2 linked regions of the Stegostoma tigrinum genome follow. The protein of the gene in region 1 purifies or fractionates together with the protein of each later gene. This does not show direct contact. Links are inferred from orthologs where the notes say so. Each region holds a gene or a part of one and is shown on either strand. Other genes may lie near its edges. The genes, in order: bcar1 and bcar3.

Region 1 (8,688 bases):
CTAGTTCGGCCCCATTTAGAATGCTGAGTCTAATTTTGGGCCCCACACCTCAGGAAGGACATATTAGCCCTGGAGCATGTCCAGCAGAGATTCACATGAATGATCCCTGGAATGGTAGGTTTAACATATGATGAACGGCTAAGGATCCTGGGATTGTACTCAGAGTTTAGAAGGTTGAGGGGAGATCTGATAGAAACTTACAAGATAATGTATGGTTTAGAAGGGGTGGACACCAGGAAGTTGTTTCCATTAGGCGGGGAGGCTAGGACCCGTGGGCACAGCCTTAAAATTAGAGGGGGTAAATTTAAAACTGAAATTTGATGACATTTCTTCAGTCAGAGAGTGGTGGGCTTGTGGAATTCATTGCCACGGAGTGCAGTGGAGGCTGGGACGTTAGAAGCCTTCAAGGCAGAGATCGACAGATTCTTGATCTCAGAAGGAATCAAAGGCTACGGGGAAAGTGCAGGGAAGTTGAGTTGAAATGCCCATCAGTCATGATTTAAATGGTGGAGTGGACTTGATGGGCTGAATGGCCTTACTTCCACTCCTACGTCTTACGGTCATCTCAGGCTGGTCTAGCATTTATTTCCAATCCCTAACAGCCTTGCTAGGGCCATTTCAGAGGACAGCTAAGACTAACATACTGCTGTGGCTCTGCAGTCACATCTAGTCCAGACCAGGTAGGGGGCAATAAATTCCCTTCTCCAAAGGACATGAGTAAACTAGATGGGTTTTTGCAACATTGGCTTCATGGTCATCATTAGGCTAGCTTTTCAATTTCAGGATTTTTTTTAAAAATTGAATTCGAATTTTACTATCTGCCATGGTGGCATTCAAATCCATGCCCTCTGAACTTCAACGTGCAGTTCAGTAACATTACCAATACACACAACCTTCCCAGTAAATAAAGTTTATGAAGCAGTTTATCTAATACTGGAACAGACAGACAGACTATCTGAACCGAATAATTCCCATTCAAACTGCTGTTCTTGTACAAACTAAAGCCTTACATGATTATTTACAACTGTGTTTTATTCAATTTCCCCCAAAAGTATTTGTTTCTGTTGATGATCTTTGTTTATTTTTTCATAAAAAGAGAGACTTGGCAAAATTCTACAGAGTTCCAATGGTGGTCCCTGTCACCGATCTATCCTCTCAGAGTCGGTGAAGCTACTCACATTTGGTACAATTTGCCAGCACTGCATTTATATTCACTCAAGCAAACGGTATAGTTTTCACAGCACAGATGCTGAGTCATTACTCACAGACAACAAACACGGTCAGCAAAAAAAAACGTTTTAACTTAAATCAGCTCTCCGTTTATTGCATTTCATTTGATTTCAGTTCCAGTGAGGTGCACTGATCTAAAAACCAACAAGTGAAATAGAAGGAATCAGATCCTGTTCCTTTGCTACTATATAATTACTCTAAGCACCCCACCTAGGTACTGCGATAACCCTGTTATTTGATACATATTGGCAGTGCACGCCGATCATGCTGTTCCACATTAAAGTCAGTTCAGCTAAGACATTAGTAAAAATGTCTGATTTGGCCCTTGTACCAACACAGCCTGAAAACAGTAAAGTGAAACCATCCAAATGGTCATTTTGAACTTTTATTACAGTAATTATAATTTGGGCTCATATCATATGCTGCATTTCTGTTGTCACACGCACATTACAAGCTTTGTACCCAGGTTTTAGTCTATTAAGCAACAGGAAAGTAATTTTGTACCATGCCAAGACGAGTTTCTTTTGACTTGTGCAGCTATATTTTAAGCTGTTGAACTATAGGTAACCGTCTGCTAGCAGAGACTGACAGGGGCAGCAGGCACATGGAACAGTACAACCTGAAAGTGCCCCTTCAAGTCACTTACTATCCAGATCTCAGAAGTAACTCCCTGTTTCTTCTTCTTTGCCCAATAAAACAAGCTGAAATTCTCCAGCTAACAGTATCACGAGTCCATTTTACCGCAGGACTACAGTAATTCTCAAAAGGCAACTTATCACCACCTTCTCAACGGCAACAAGACCCCAAAATACATTGTTCATAACCAGGGTTCCAGTAGCTGACCTTCAGGCCAGTGAATGCGGCCGATGTGTACACAGCCTTGACGGAATTGAATCTCTGTAAGGCTTATTCCATGTTCCCAGATTTGCTTATTTTCTCTCGCTCTGTTATTGTGTTCGAAGAAAACAGCCCGAAGACAGAGAGGGGCAGATGGATACTGGGAACATATCAACATAGAAATGATGAACTATGTTCGAGTGAAAAGTTTCTGGTGAAATTTGTTCTCCTACTTTTGGGGGTCGGAGGGTGGCGTTGATAGTCAAAGAGTAGGATCAGGTGGTAATACTCAGCTATGAAGTTTCACACCCACACTCGGAGCATCAATAAACAATTTGTAATTCTTGCGTAGTGCATTTGCGAACAAACGAACAAGATTTAACCAATTCCTCCAATTCAGAAAAAAACCCGGTTTGCCAGTAAACGCTGCATTTAACAACCTGAAAGACAGTATTTACCACACAGACGAATCTGAATCTGGATTCTCTTACAGTTGCAAATACTCTGCAGGATAAAGTGCACACGAAAATAAATGCCCACTCTCCTCTATCATAAAAAGGAGCCTCGTAAGTACTGGTCCGGGGCTTGGGACCGGTCTCGCAGGAGAGGGAACGGTCGTGCACAGAGTTCCAGCTAGCAGCCTGGGGCCCCGGCCTCCACACTCCCCATTCAAACAGAACCAGCTCCAACTAACATCGCGGCACCATCACCCACCCGAGCTTTGCAAACAGCGGCAGCCGATTCGGGGGGAGCCACTGGCCAGCGAGGCTGCACTTCACTGCAGGCACGGGAAGGGGACTTTGTGAACGTGAAGAGATACTCACAGGCACAGACATCTCCGGCTCTTCCTCCGCACCGGGCGATCTGAAAGGGATGTCGTGCTGATCAGTTTCCTCCCAGCGTTGGGAAGGCGGCTGGGAATAACTGCCTGATTTTTCGGGAAGGCGATCAGGTGGATCCCATCGTCTCCCTCTGCCACCCAGGACTGTCAGCACCCTGAAGTCGCAGGTTCCGTTTGCTTGCAGCTCTGTAATCTTCAGTTCAGTGACAGCCTCTGGCAGGGAACTGCGCTCCTGGTGAATTTCCACTCGCTTTCCCACCCCCCAACCCAGCCTCCTGTCAGTCTGTGTGTGTGTCTCTCTCTGGCTCTTCCCCAGCCCTGGGCTCCTACACATTAACTTGCACACTGTCTCGTACTGAATCCTTGTTCTAACGCCCAGACCCACCACCCCACTACTACTTCTTCTTCTTCTTCTTCTTCTTCTTTTCTTCTCTTCTTTTCTTTCTTTCTCTCTCTCCTCCTCTTTCTCTTCCTCCCCTCAATCGCCTGCAATGACGAAATCGGCAATTTCACCTTAAAGGCACCGCCAACCGTGCAGAGCGCAGGCGCTGGGAAACCGACTCAATCCAGTGGGTAAAGAGTTTCCATTAAAGGGACCATACCCCTACTTTCTCCAGGAATGGCCTGCCTCGCACTTTTCTGCTAAAAGGAACAGTGACAGCAGCTGGGGCTCTGTCAGTTTGGTTCGATCAGCTGTTTGCAAAAGCCCGCACACAAAACAGAGAGCCTCCGTTCACTGGAGTGCACCTCCCCATGAGCTCAGTGCAAACAGTTACACGTCGGCAATAGAGAGTCGCTGAGCCTGTCTACACAGGGGGTTATTGCCGGAGCTTAATCTCCTTCACTACTCTTTGACATGAAGCAGCGCAGGACAGAGCAGTGCGGAGCTACACAGCGTCCCTGTGCAGCCTGAACCACCGTGTTCACAGGAGCGCCATGGTTTTTGAGGTTATCTTGAAAGAAACTCATAACCAAGTGCTGCATCTTTACGTTCTATTAATAACATGGGATTAGCAGTGTCCTGGAATTCGACACAGTTTCCGGGCTCAAACATTTCATTGCCTTGTCTGCTATAGAGCTGATTCTCTCAATTTCAGTTTGTCATTGAAACTGAGTGTGGTTCTATCCTCGTTTTACTTTCTCCCACTCTCTGCACGACCACCAAAGGTTCATAGCCAATGATTTATGCATTTTTTAAAGATATTTACCTCAAAGTTATAAACGCCTATGAATTTCAGTAGGTAATGGGATGGAAATAAAGACAGAAAATAGAAAGTGTTATTCCAGGTTGATTAATTGCTGTTTTACAGATATTACTTTTTGTTCATTAACCGAATTCAGAAATTTTGATAGCACGTGACTTAAACAGAAACTTGCACGTATTAGTAAACACGTATTTGCTGTCCTGTGTACATTCGGTGGTGGAGGAAAGATTCTGTAGGAGGAGCCTTGGTGAGTTACTGCTGAATGGTACACACTGTTATCGTTGTGCAGCGAAGGCGAAGGGAGTGAATGTTGTAAACTGGTGAATGGGGTGTCAATGAAGCAGACTGCTTTGGCCTGGATGGTGTGAAGCACGCTCTTGATATGAGTCTTGTGAATCGTGCATTGATGGTGAGTAACTTACTGAAGAAAATATAGTATCTAAACTGCTCCTGTAGTCACAGTATTTAATCTGGCAGTGCAGATCAATTTCTGGTCAATGATAACCCCAAGGATGTTGATTCAACAATGATAATACCACTGAATATCAAGGAGCAAGATTCTCTCTTCATGGAAATGCTCATGGCCTTGCACTTAGTTGGTACAAAATTTCCTTGCCATATATTAGTCCAATTCAGTATGCTGTCCAAATCTTGAGATACATGGACACAGGCTGCTTCAATATCTGAGGAGTTGCAAATGGTCGTGAACATTGTGCAATCACCAGTGAACAACCCAATTGCTAACATAATGATGGAGGGCAAGGTCATTGATGAAGCAGCTAAAAATGGTTGGGTCTAGGACACCACTCTGAGGAACTCCTTCAGATTCTTTCTAGGGCTGAAATGCTCATTTGGACGTCCAGTGCAGACCTGATTGGCCAAATAACTTTGTGTGTGCGTGTGTGTGTGTGTGTGTGTGTGTTCACTCCTATCTGTTTCTCATTCCTGGATGTCTTCTTGCTTAATTATTTTTAACTTCCTGTATTTGGCTCAGCTTCGCTGTTGGTACATCCCACAAGTCTTTTTGACTGTCCACTTCTTGCCTGCTAAAGTTCCTGTTTTCTCACCAGTTCACCCAATTCCCTATCGGTTTCTGACTCTTCTACTTATTTTCCTGTTTGCTAGCTAGTGTCTTTTGCTGCTCTTCAAGCTCTTGACAACACACAAAGTACTTCGAAAGTATAGTCATTGTTGCAATACAGGAAATACTGAAGCCAATTCTCAGATGGAACCACAATCAACAATAAAATAAATAAGTTTGAGAAGGACCACATTAATTAGTCCAATACACAAAAGTTGTCAACACTTTATTAAACTGCATGTTATATGGGAAATGCCATATAACATTGACAGGAACAAACAACTATGAATCTGCAGTTCTCTAACGCCTCCAATCTATTTTCCTTGCCGCTTGTCTAGGTTTCTTTAGAGGCTAATCAATAAAGATTGATTGAGCAAAAATATGAAGATTCAATAACTCAAATATTGTTGTGTCTACTCAGATGGTAGAAGACAAAATAGATAGACTGCAGTCCTCACCATCAAATGATTCCTTTGTTCCTTAAAGAGATGGGAAACAGGGACAGATAAGAGGGAAATGGGAATAAATGATTAGATCCGTGTAAGCTTAAGGATAAGAAGCTTATACAGATAAGGATCAAAACAAACCATTAAAGACACTTGGTCTAACTCTTCCTGGCACATCTATGTGATAAATATTCATTCTGAGATCGCTTGGCATCAATATTACTTGTAAATTAATATATTTGACTCTACCTTGGAGGAGCTTAGGTGACCTCATTCTGCACAACAGTGTTTTGATCATATAGCCTATAATTACATTTGCACCCAAATATCAATTCATTCTAGCTGCTGTACTCACAGGTAATAAACCACATCATTGGAATCAATGAGAATATGGAATGAAATGGTACTGCAATTTTCTGGTTTTACTGCAACAAAAGGTTTCCTGTATTTAAGGCACTTCCTGGCCAGTGATGTGGTCTTCTGAACTCAATATTTTTGCCTTTCTCCTCTCATTTAGTCACATGGCTGGGATGATGGTGGCACAGTAGCTCAGTAGTTAGTACTGCTGCTTCACAGCACAAGGGACGCAGGATTGATTCCAACATCGGGCAACTGTCTGTGTGGAGTTTACACGTTCACAATGTCTGTGTGGTTTTCCTCCAGGTGCTCCAGTTTCCTCCCATAGTCCAAAGATATTCAAGCTAGGTGGATTGGCCGTGCTAAATTGCCCCGTGATGTGCAAGCCAAGTGGGTTAGACATGGGAAATGCAGGTTTATCGGGATTGGGTAGGGGTAGTGGATATGGGTGGGGGGCTTTTCGGAGGGTTGGTGTGGACTCGATGGGCCAAATAGCCTGCTTCCACACTGTAGGGATTCTATGATGGCTTTGTAGTGTACCTACCTGTGACAAACCTTGCAAATTTTTACACTTACTGCATGCAGTGAAATTTGTTTCTCAGGTATTGCAGTTGTCCATAAAACATGAAATAAGAAATTAGTTGTGCTGTGCCTCCATTGTCTTTAAAGGGCGGACATTTGTTAATGATGTGGCTCCATTTGTGATAGATCCCTTAATCACTAACAACAAGGTTAAAAATCTAACCATTGACACTCATAACAATTACAAGAGGAACATATGAAAAGCTTGCACACAAGTTTTAATGATTGAAACATGTTGCAAAGTGCTGAAGCACTTCTAGAGTCTTTAGTCCATCATTAGAAGCTTGTGTGTTCAAATCTTGAAACACAATCTGCTCCATTACTTTATTAAGTGTATCAAACATTCCAAGTCTAATTCTCCTCACCCTGATTTCACAGAACTCTATTCAAGTATTAAGCTAGGACATGACATAGTGTACAGTGACTTTCCGTGCCAAGCACCTCAAGCCTCGCTGTGACATTGTAACTGTTCTGAAACAGTTTGGAAACAAACTTCAACAATGGCCAATAAATAAGCAAAGATCATGCAGCCCCATGTGAAACTGTGATTGCCCATCCACAGTCCATTGGAAGAATGCTTGCATTACACTGAATAGGTCCTTATAAGGCTTTATATAATAATGTAATATACGAGATATGCCAGATACTTCAGTAAAGACGAAGTTCCCATAGCCTTACTAGCCCATAGGGCTGCTGTCTCGCTAAACGAACATAACTGGCGGTGGTTTAACCTCAGGATCAGTCAAGAGAAGAGGTAGAGACAAAGAGTGCTCCATGAAAACTTCAGTCAGTGCAGGGATTGAACCCACACTGTTGGATTTTCCAGGCATTAACTAAAAAAAAAGCTAATAGCTAGCATAACAAGGAATGATTATAAGGTAATAAAGCAGTTAGCTGGTATAAAAACTGCATGAGGGTCTTGGCATTTGTGTCAGAGCGAAGCATGTACTTGATGGGCATTTAATGTTGAACAATGATGATCTTTAGTGATTACTTTCTTTATTCCAATCATATTACTGCAAATATGGAGAAAAAAAGGCTTGTCCCTTTCTGAAGAAGGGTCTCGACCCGAAATGTCAACTATCCTGCTCCTCTGATGCTGCCTGGCCTGCTGTGTTCCTCCAGCTCCACACTGTGTTATCTCTTGCTTCAAAATAGTGCCATGGAATATCTTACATCCACCTAAGAGGGCAAGTGGGATCTTAGGGTCTAACATCCTCATCTAAATAATGGCATCGCTAACACAATAGCACTGCTTCAGAAAAGAGCCAATGCAACAGCCTAGATTTTCCTGTGGGCCCTGAAAACAACAACATACTGACTGAGATGAGAGTTCTGTCATTGTTAAACAAACCATTTCATGACAAATACTTACCCTTTGACTATACAGGCTATGGTTTAAAGTTGATAATTATGAAAGTTTCTTACTTATTAATTTATTGCATTGCTATACAGAGGACACATTATAAAGACCAGCAGCACATGGTGTACATCCTACTTATTGGTCTAGGCTACAAATGATTAGTAACAAAAGCATTGGCAGTGTTCCTACCTCTAAGGCAGGCAACGTGGGTTCAAGTCCCACCTGTTCTAGGGGTGTGTCATAACATCCCTGAATAGGTTGATTCGAGAATATCTAAAAGTGATCTTTGGCCTGCAAATCTGATGTAATTCATTTTCCAGAAATATTCTGCTAATACACGAGAAAAGGAATTGTGTGATCTATTGTTATGGCTTCTCCATCTCAGACAGACCCTTGGGATTGAGGATGACTTGCTTCCACACTGTTTTAATGGATTCAGGGATAGCTGATGAACCCAGTGTGCTAGCTGCAACTTCAGGAGGTGCTGGTAGGATCAAGAGATGAGATGGGTGAGTATGGGTTATGTGCTCCCTTCAGTCTGTTGTATTACCTTTGCATCATTACTGATGACATTTCTCATTGTTTGCTACTACCCAGCATTGAATCTCCTCTATTTTGGTCAATTACCAGGTGGGGAATCCCATGAATCAGCAAGGATGTTTGACTTCTTCAGCGATGCCCTAAAATATTACTGTTGACCTCCTGCGAGCCTCCTGCAATGGCTGAGCTCTGTATGGCGTAGTTGT
Region 2 (8,400 bases), on another chromosome or scaffold:
TTCAGGGTAGGTAGTCTTAGAGGCTTCGTAGTGGGGTTAAAATTGTTTCAGAGATAGTAGGAACTGCAGATGCTAATAACCTCAGTGGATCCACCTCCCCCTCTCTCCTGATTTATTTCAGAACCCCCTTCCCCTCCCCCATTTCTGAAGAAGGGTCTAGGCCCAAAACGTCAGCTTTCCTGCTGTGTTCATCCAGCTCCACACCTTGTTATCTTGGATTCTCCAGCATCTGTAGTTCCTACTATTTCTGAAACAAAATTGCTGAGTGTTTTGTTTTCTTTTATTATCTAATTCTGCATTATTAGGAGCCATTAAATCAGAAAGACAAGTACTTTGATTGAAATATTGAAAGTAGAAGTAGGAGACCATTTGGTCCTTTTGGTTGGTTCTGCCATTTGGTATGACCATTGCTAATCATCCAGCTCAGTTTTTTTTTTCCTGCCTGACCGCTACTGGTGCCTGGCTTTAGGAATGATCATGTTGCCACCCTCAATGAACTTGCTGAAATAGCCAGTTCTCCTTATTTGAGCCCTGGACTCTTTGACCACGTGGGGCATCACAAAAGAACTTGCAGTTCACAAAAATGCCCTGGACAGTGATCAGACAGTTGGCGACCTCACTTTATTTTCACACCTGGAAACCAGGGAAAGTGAAGACAGTGGCCACACCCAAAGCAGGAGATAGAGCCATGACCCTGGTCCATGATTTTTGGCTGGGAATGCTGGGAAGAGAACTTGACTGGAGACATCCAAAGAGAGAATTGTGATTCAACTCGCGTGAGGTTTTTCAACAACTTTCAGTAAATGCTGGAAGGAAGACAGTAATAGCGTCCTTTTAGATCACCACATTGGTTCATCAGTAGCAGCTTTCTGGCCAATGACTTAGGATAACATCAAAAGTGCCTGATTGGTAAGGTAACAAGTTTATTTTTTATTCTTTATTTCTTAAGCCTTGGGAATTTAGAATAATGGGAACGGAGGTCAGGGCAGTTGAATGTTCCTCCTGCAGAATGTGGGAGGTAAGGGTCACCACTAGTGTCCCTGCTGACTACATCTGCAGGAAGTGCACCCAACTCCAGCTCCTTGAAAACCGCGTTAGGGAACTGGAGCTGGAGCTGGATGAGCTTCGGATCATTCGGGAGGCAGAGGGGGTTATTGAGAGGAGTTACAGGGAGGTAGTCACTCCTCGTACAGGAAAAAGGCAGATGGGTTATGGTCAGGGGACGGAAAGGGAACCGGCAGGCAGGCCAGGGATCCCCTGTGGCCATTCCCCTCAACAATAAGTATACCATTTTGGATACTGTTGGGGGGGATGACTTTCCAGGGGAAAGCAGTGGGGCACAGGTCTCTGGCACAGAGTCTGTCCCTGCTGCTCAGCAGGGAAGGGGGAAGAGGAGCAGAGCATTAGTCATTGGGGACTCCATAGTTAGGGGCAAAGATAGGAGGTTCTGTGGGGTCGAGAGAGACTCACAGTTGGTGTGTTGCCTCCCAGGTGCCAGGGTGCGTGATGTCTCTGATCGTGTTTTTGGGATCCCTAAGGGGGAGGGGGAGCAGCCCCAAGTCGTGGTCCACATTGGCACCAACGACATAGGTAGGAAGAGAGACGGAGATTTAAGGCAGAAATTCAGGGAGCTAGGATGGAAGCTGAGAGCTAGGATGAACAGAGTTGTTGTCTCTGGTTTGTTGCCCGAGCCACGTGCTAGTGAGGCGAGGAATAGGGGAGAGAGAGGGGTTGAACACGTAGCTACAGGGATGGTGCAGGAGGGAGGGTTTTGGATTCTTGGATAATTGGGACTCTTTCTGGGGTAGGTGGGACCTCTACAAGGAAGATGGTCTTCACCTGAACCAGAGGAGTACCGATATCCTGGGGGGGGGGGGAAATTTGCTAAGGCTGTTCCGGTGGGTTTAAACTAATTCAGTAGGGGGATGGGCACCAAAATTGTAGTTCGACTGTAGAAAAGGTTGAGAGTAGGGTGGTCTGAAATAAAGATTCAGGGAAGCAAGATGGCACCGGCAAGCAAGAAGTTGGTTTGAAGTGTGTCTACTTCAATGCCAGGAGTATCCGGAATAAGGTGGGTGAACTTGCAGCATGGATTAGTACCTGGGACTTCAATGTTGTGGCCATTTCAGAGACATGGATAGAGCAGGGACAGGAATGGTTGTTGCAGGTTCCGGGATTTAGATGTTTCAGTAAGAACAGAGAAGATGGTAAAAGGGGCAGAGGTGTGGCATTGTTGGTCAAGGACTGTATTACAGTTGCAGAAAGGATGTTTGGGGACTTGTCAACTGAGGTAGTATGGGCTGAGATTAGAAACAGGAAAGGAGAGGTCACCCTGTTGGGAGTTTTCTATAGGCCTCCGAATAGTTCCAGAGATATAGAGGAAAGGATAGCAAAGATGATTCTCGATAGGCGTGAGAGAGATGGGGTAGTTGTCATGGGGGACTTCAACTTTCCAGATATTGACTGGGAACACTATAGTTCCAGTACTATAGATGGGTCAGTTTTTGTCCAGAGTGTGCAGGAGGGCTTCCTGACACAGTATGTAGATAGGCCAACAAGGGGCGAAGCCACATTAGATTTGGTACTGGGTACTGAGCCCAGCCAGGTGTTAGATTTGGAAGTAGGTGAGCACTTTGGTGATAGTGATCACAATTCTGTTATGTTTACTTTAGTGATGGAAAGGGATAGGTGTATACCACTGGGCAAGAGTTATAGCTGGGGGAAAGGCAATTACAATGAGATTAGGCAAGATTTAGGGAGCATAGGATGGGGAAGGAAACTGCAGGGGATGGGCACATTAGAAATGTGGAGCTTATTCAAGGAAAAGCTCCCGTGTGTCCTAGATAAATATGTACCTGTCAGGCAGGGAGGAAGCTGTAGAGTGCGGGAGCCATGGTTTACGAAGGACGTGGAATCTCTGGTCAAGAGGAAGAAGAAGGCTTATATTAGGATGAGATGCGAAGGCTCAGTTAGGGCACTTGAGGGCTACGAGGTAGCCCGGAAAGACCTAAAGAGAGAGCTCAGAAGAGCCAGGAGGAGACATGAGAAGTTGTTGGCGGATAGGATCGGGGTTAAACCCTAAGGCTTTCTATAGGTATTTAAGGAATAAAAGAATGACGAAAGCAAGATTAGGCCCAATCAAGGATAGTAGTGGTAAGTTGTGTGTGGAGTCAGATAAGATAGGGGAAGCGCTAAATGAATACTTTTCAACAGTATTCACTCTAGAAAACGACAATGTTGTCGAGGAGAATACTGAGATACAGGCTACTAGACTAGCTGGGATTGAAGTTTACACGGAAGAGGTATTAGAAATCCTTCAGAAGGTGAAGATAGATAAGTCCCCTGGGCCGGATGGGATTTATCCTCGGATCCTCTGGGAAGCTAGGAAGGAGATCGCCGAGCCTTTGGCATTGATCTTTAGCTCAGCTCATTGTCTACAGGGATAGTGCCAGATGACTGGAGGATAGCAAATGTGGTTCCCCTGTTCAAGAAGGAGAGTAGAGACAACCCTGGTAATTATAGACCAGTCAGCCTTACCTCAGTTGTTGGTAAAGTGTTGGAAAAGGTTATAAGGGATAGGATTTATATCATCTAGAAAAGAATAAATTGATTGGGATAGTCAGCACGGTTTTGTGAAGGGAAGGTCGTGCCTCGCAAACCTTATTGAGTTCTTTGAGAAGGTGACCAAACAGGTAGATGAGAGTAAACCGGTTGATGTGGTATATATGGATTTCAGCAAGGCGTTTGATAAGGTTCCCCACAATAGGCTATTGTACAAAATCCGGAGGAATGGAATTGTGGGAGATATAGCAGTTTGGATCGGAAATTGGCTTGCTGAAAGAAGACAGAGGGTGGTAGTTGATGGGAAATGTTCATCCTGGAGTCCAGTTACTAGTGGTGTACCACAAGGGTCGGTGTTGGGTCCACTGCTGTTTGTCATTTTTATAGATGACCTGGATGACTGTGTAGAAGGATGGGTTAGTAAATTTGCAGACGACACTAAGGTCGGTGGAGTTGTGGATAGTGACGAAGGATGCTGTAGGTTGCAGAGACATAGATAAGCTGCAGAGCTGGGCTGAGAGGTGGCAAATGGAGTTTAATGCAGACAAGTGTGAGGTGATGCACTTTGGTAGAAGTAACCGGAAGGCAAAGTACTGGACTAATGGTAAGATTCTTGGTAGTGTAGATGAGCAGAGAGATCTGTGTCCATGTACACAGATCCTTGAAAGTTGCCACCCAGGTTGACAGGGCTGTTAAGAAGGCATACAGTGTTTTAGCTTTTATTAATAGAGGGATTGAGTTCTGGAACCAAGAGGTTATGCTGCAGCTGTACAAAACTCTGGTGTGGCCGCACTTGGAGTATTGTGTACAGTTCTGGTCACCGCATTATAAGAAGGATGTGGAAGCTTTGGAAAGGGTGCAGAGGAGATTTACTAGGATGTTGCCTGGTATGGAGGGAAGGTCTTATGAGGAAAGGCTGAGGGACTTGAGGCTGTTTTCATTAGAGAGGAGAAGGTTGAGAGGTGACTTAATTGAAACATATAAAATAATCAGAGGGTTAGATAGGGTGGATAGGGAGAGCCTTTTTCCTCGGATGGTGATGGTGAGCACGAGGGGGCATAGCTTTAAATTGAGGGGTGAAAGATATAGGACAGATGTCAGAGGTAGTTTCTTTACTCAGAATAGTAAGGGAATGGAAGGCTTTTCCTGCAACGGTAGTAGATTCGCCAACTTTAGGTACATTTAAGTCATCATTGGATAAGCATATGGACGTACATGGAATAGTGTAGGTTAGATGGGCTTGAGATCGGTATGACAGGTCGGCACAACATCGAGGGCCGAAGGGCCTGTACTGTGCTGTAATGTTCTATAAATGATTGAATTGGCTTTATTGTCACATGTACTCAAATGAGCACAGTGAAAAGTTCATAAGCTACCACTTACAACTAGTCACCATCCGTTCGAGTTTTACCTGTTGATCGGCCATAAAATTGGATTGTGTTATCTTTCTGCGCTGAAGGCTATTTCGTGAGCTGAGCTAAGGTCTGGCACTGCTGGGAAATGGTTCAGACTCTCAACACTGCAGTCTGACCTCTCTCTCTCTCTCTCTCTCACGCATACAGATCCCAGGCTCTCCTGATCAGACAGGATACAACCATCCAGGCAAACAGAGGCAACTCATTCAGAAGGTGCTCAGCTCTGTCCCGTGCAGAACACTGTGCTCTGTGGGTAGGTAGGTGATTAACTCCACCTTCGGCGAAACGCGGAGTATTTGCCTGATTGTCAGCAATTGTTTTAATTGGATTAGGAAGCTGGTCCAACAGTAGATCGGAAACATTGTGAACGCGTTGGGCTTTGTGCAATTTTTAATCGAGTGGCGTCAAGAAAACTCTTTTCACCTGGAGTGTTGGTGAAGGCTGTGAAGAGTATCGTAGGCGCGCTGCGTTTCTAATTACTGTACACGGTAACGAGTATGTTCGAGCAGAGTGCCCCGTGGCGAAGGTACTCCGGGTGAAATGCCTAACCAGCCCCACTCCTCTCTGTCAGTCCAAACTCTCAGCAGACTGGTCTCCTCACTGAAACCGCAGTGCTAGAGAATCCAAGATAATAAAGTGTGAGGCTGGATGAACACAGCGGGCCAAGCAGCATCTCAGGAGCACAAAAGCTGACGTTTCGTGCTTAGACCCTTCATCCCGAAACGTCAGCTTTTGTGCTCCTGAGATGCTGCTTGGCCTGCTGTGTTCATCCAGCTCCACATTTTGTTATCTGAGACCGCAGTGTTGCCTTGTTTCTGACTTTGCAGCCTGATAATTGAACGGAAATTGCAGTTTCTTCCACAAATGTTTTACTGCTTTCACGTGTTGTCTGGGGACCAGCGTTGAGAGTTAAAGGTCACCTCATCTCTGATCCGCTTGTTTAAACAATGCAACCGGGGATAAGTTATCTGCAGAGTCCCTTGCTAACACTGAAGCAGAAAATCTCGTCAGTTGAAATCGTCCTGTCTGGCCGAAGCTTCCTTCATTGTCCAGTTATTTTAAATTGAACGTTTTACTTAAAACCTTGATAAGGGGAATGTTCCACAAGAACATGTCTGTGTGTTTTAGAACTGGATTTAGTATCTTCCTCACAGCATTTATATCTAAATGAAGTGGGATTGAGTTTGAAGAAAATGTTCAGCTATGCAGCCCTCTCCTAACACGAGGACATCACAGAGCTCAGTGATTGTGAGCAATGCTGTAGTCAAGTCTATGCCCCAGAGCAAATATTTTTCTTTCCCCCATTCATCTTGACTGGGGAAGAAATATTGACCAGGCCTTTTCAGAGCATTACCCAGCTTTTCTTCAACATGGTGCAGTGGGAGCTGGGTACATCTACCTGAGGGGGCAGCTGGAGTCTCAGTTTAGTGTCTCATCCAAACAATGCATGTAGAACTTGGATAAAAGTGTTCAAGGAAACCTTGACTTCAACTAGGGGTTGGGATGAAAACCAGAACCACTGCGTCATTCTTATTACAGTGGTGTTTTGATTGGATTCATATCAGTGCATTGTGAGCATCAAACTGAAAAGAAAATGTTTACCATGCACTTCCTTTCTCTGGGAAAGACACCCCTTTGAAAATTTATATTTTTTTATTATAAGAGGTCCTGCTAAACAACCCTATCAAGATTACGCATAGATGTTTCCCCCACAGAATGAGGCCATTTGGCCCGTCATCTTTGTACTGGTCAACAAAGATCTGACTATACTAATCCCATTTTCCAATTCTTGGCCCATAGCCCTGGAAGTTATGGCAATGCAAGTCAATACCTAAATACTGCTTCAATGTTGAGTTTCTGATTCAACCACCCTTTCAATTTGCAAGTTAGAAACACCCACTATCTGCTCCTGTGAAAAGATTTCTCTTTGAGTCTCCACTTAGCATTTTACCACTTATTGACCCCTTTACTAATGGGGGAAAAAATGCCTTGCTATCTGGCTTGTCTATGCCTTGCATAATCTTGTACTCATCTGTCTGATCTCCTCTCAACTCCAATTCATCCAATCATTCCCCATAGCTTAGACCCTCTAACCCAGACAGCATCCTACTAAGTCTCCTCTGCACCCTCACTAGTGCAATCACATCCTTCCACAATCACATGTGGTGACCAGAACTGCATGCAGTGCTCCAATTGTGGTTTATCCAACAATTTATGGTTTTCATAGAAAAATCAATGGAAGCACAATATGCAAACACCATCCATAATCCTGGCAGATCTTATATTTATTCTGTTAACCCTAGTATTTATTTTGTTCAATCATTATTGGCCAATTTTTACTGAGATGGCCTGAAATCTCTGAGTCCAGCAGACTTACATTGGAATTGCAATTGGTGTGTGATCTCGTGACTTAAGAACTCGCTTTGACACCAAATGCAAGTAGTTAGTGATGCAGAATGACCAGAGTGCAAAGAGGAGGTGGAGAGTTATCTACATTGGGAAAAAATATCTCTTTGGTTCTTGGTTTTGTTTTGAACATATAAAACAAACAGGAAGCTCTCCAACCAAATAGACAGGAGACTTATTTCAATAACTTAGAGACAGTAGGGACTATAGATGCTGAAAGCTGGAATCAATAAATGTGGAGCTGGTAAATGGGAGGGTCAGTGGCCTAGTGGTGTTATCGTTGGACTGTTAATCCAGATAACATTCTGGGAACCCAGGTTCAAATGCTGCCACAGCAGATGGTGGAATTTGAATACAATAAAAATATCTGGAATTAAGAATCTATGATGACCATGACCCCATTGTTGATTGCTGGAAAAACCCCATCTGGTTCACTAATGTCCTTTTAGGGAAGGAAACTGCCATCCTTACCTCGTCTCGCCTACATGTTACTCCAGACCCACGGCAATAGGGTTGACTTTTAACTGCCCTCTAAGGGATGGGCAGTAAATGCTGCCTCACCATTGATGCCCTCATCCTGTGAATGATTAAAGGTAAAGCACAGCAGGTCAGACAGCATCCATAGGATTTTGGACCGAAACATCGACTTTCCTTTTCCTTGGATGCTGTCTGACCTGCTGTGCTTTTCCAGCTCCACATTTATTGATGCTTATTTCAATATTTCACTTGGTGCTCTACATTACTCATTAAAGTTCAAGCATTGCTGAGTGTTGAGTGTGGACTGAAATAACTAGTAGCGAGTTTTGAGAAGATTTGTAGCTCGGGTTGAGATTCTGGATGTGAGTTTGCTCGCTGAGCTGGAAGGTTAGTTTTCAGATGTTTTGTCACCATTCTAGGTAACATTATCAGTGAGCCTCTGACCAAGCGCTGGTGTTATGTCCTGCTTTCTATTTATCTGTTTAGGTTTCCTTGGGTTGGTGATGTCATTTCCTGTTCTTTTTCTCAGAGGGTGGTAGAT

Evidence for each region.
Region 2: the proteins of bcar1 (region 1) and bcar3 purify together in Homo sapiens (co-immunoprecipitation; 4 studies listed by BioGRID and IntAct, counting the BioPlex papers as one, with this or other methods). This does not show direct contact. The link is inferred for Stegostoma tigrinum from reciprocal best matches to the Homo sapiens genes BCAR1 and BCAR3.

What each region holds. Positions count from the first base shown.
Region 1 is NC_081369.1:19,944,368-19,953,055, reverse strand, and holds the start of bcar1 (breast cancer anti-estrogen resistance protein 1), read right to left. Parts: upstream 3,412-8,688; 5' UTR 3,243-3,411; coding exon 2,892-3,242; intron 1-2,891. UniProt on the Homo sapiens protein: Docking protein which plays a central coordinating role for tyrosine kinase-based signaling related to cell adhesion. Implicated in induction of cell migration and cell branching. Involved in the BCAR3-mediated inhibition of TGFB signaling.
Region 2 is NC_081361.1:85,035,046-85,043,445, forward strand, and holds the start of bcar3 (breast cancer anti-estrogen resistance protein 3), read left to right. Parts: upstream 1-5,071; 5' UTR 5,072-5,233; intron 5,234-8,400. UniProt on the Homo sapiens protein: Acts as an adapter protein downstream of several growth factor receptors to promote cell proliferation, migration, and redistribution of actin fibers.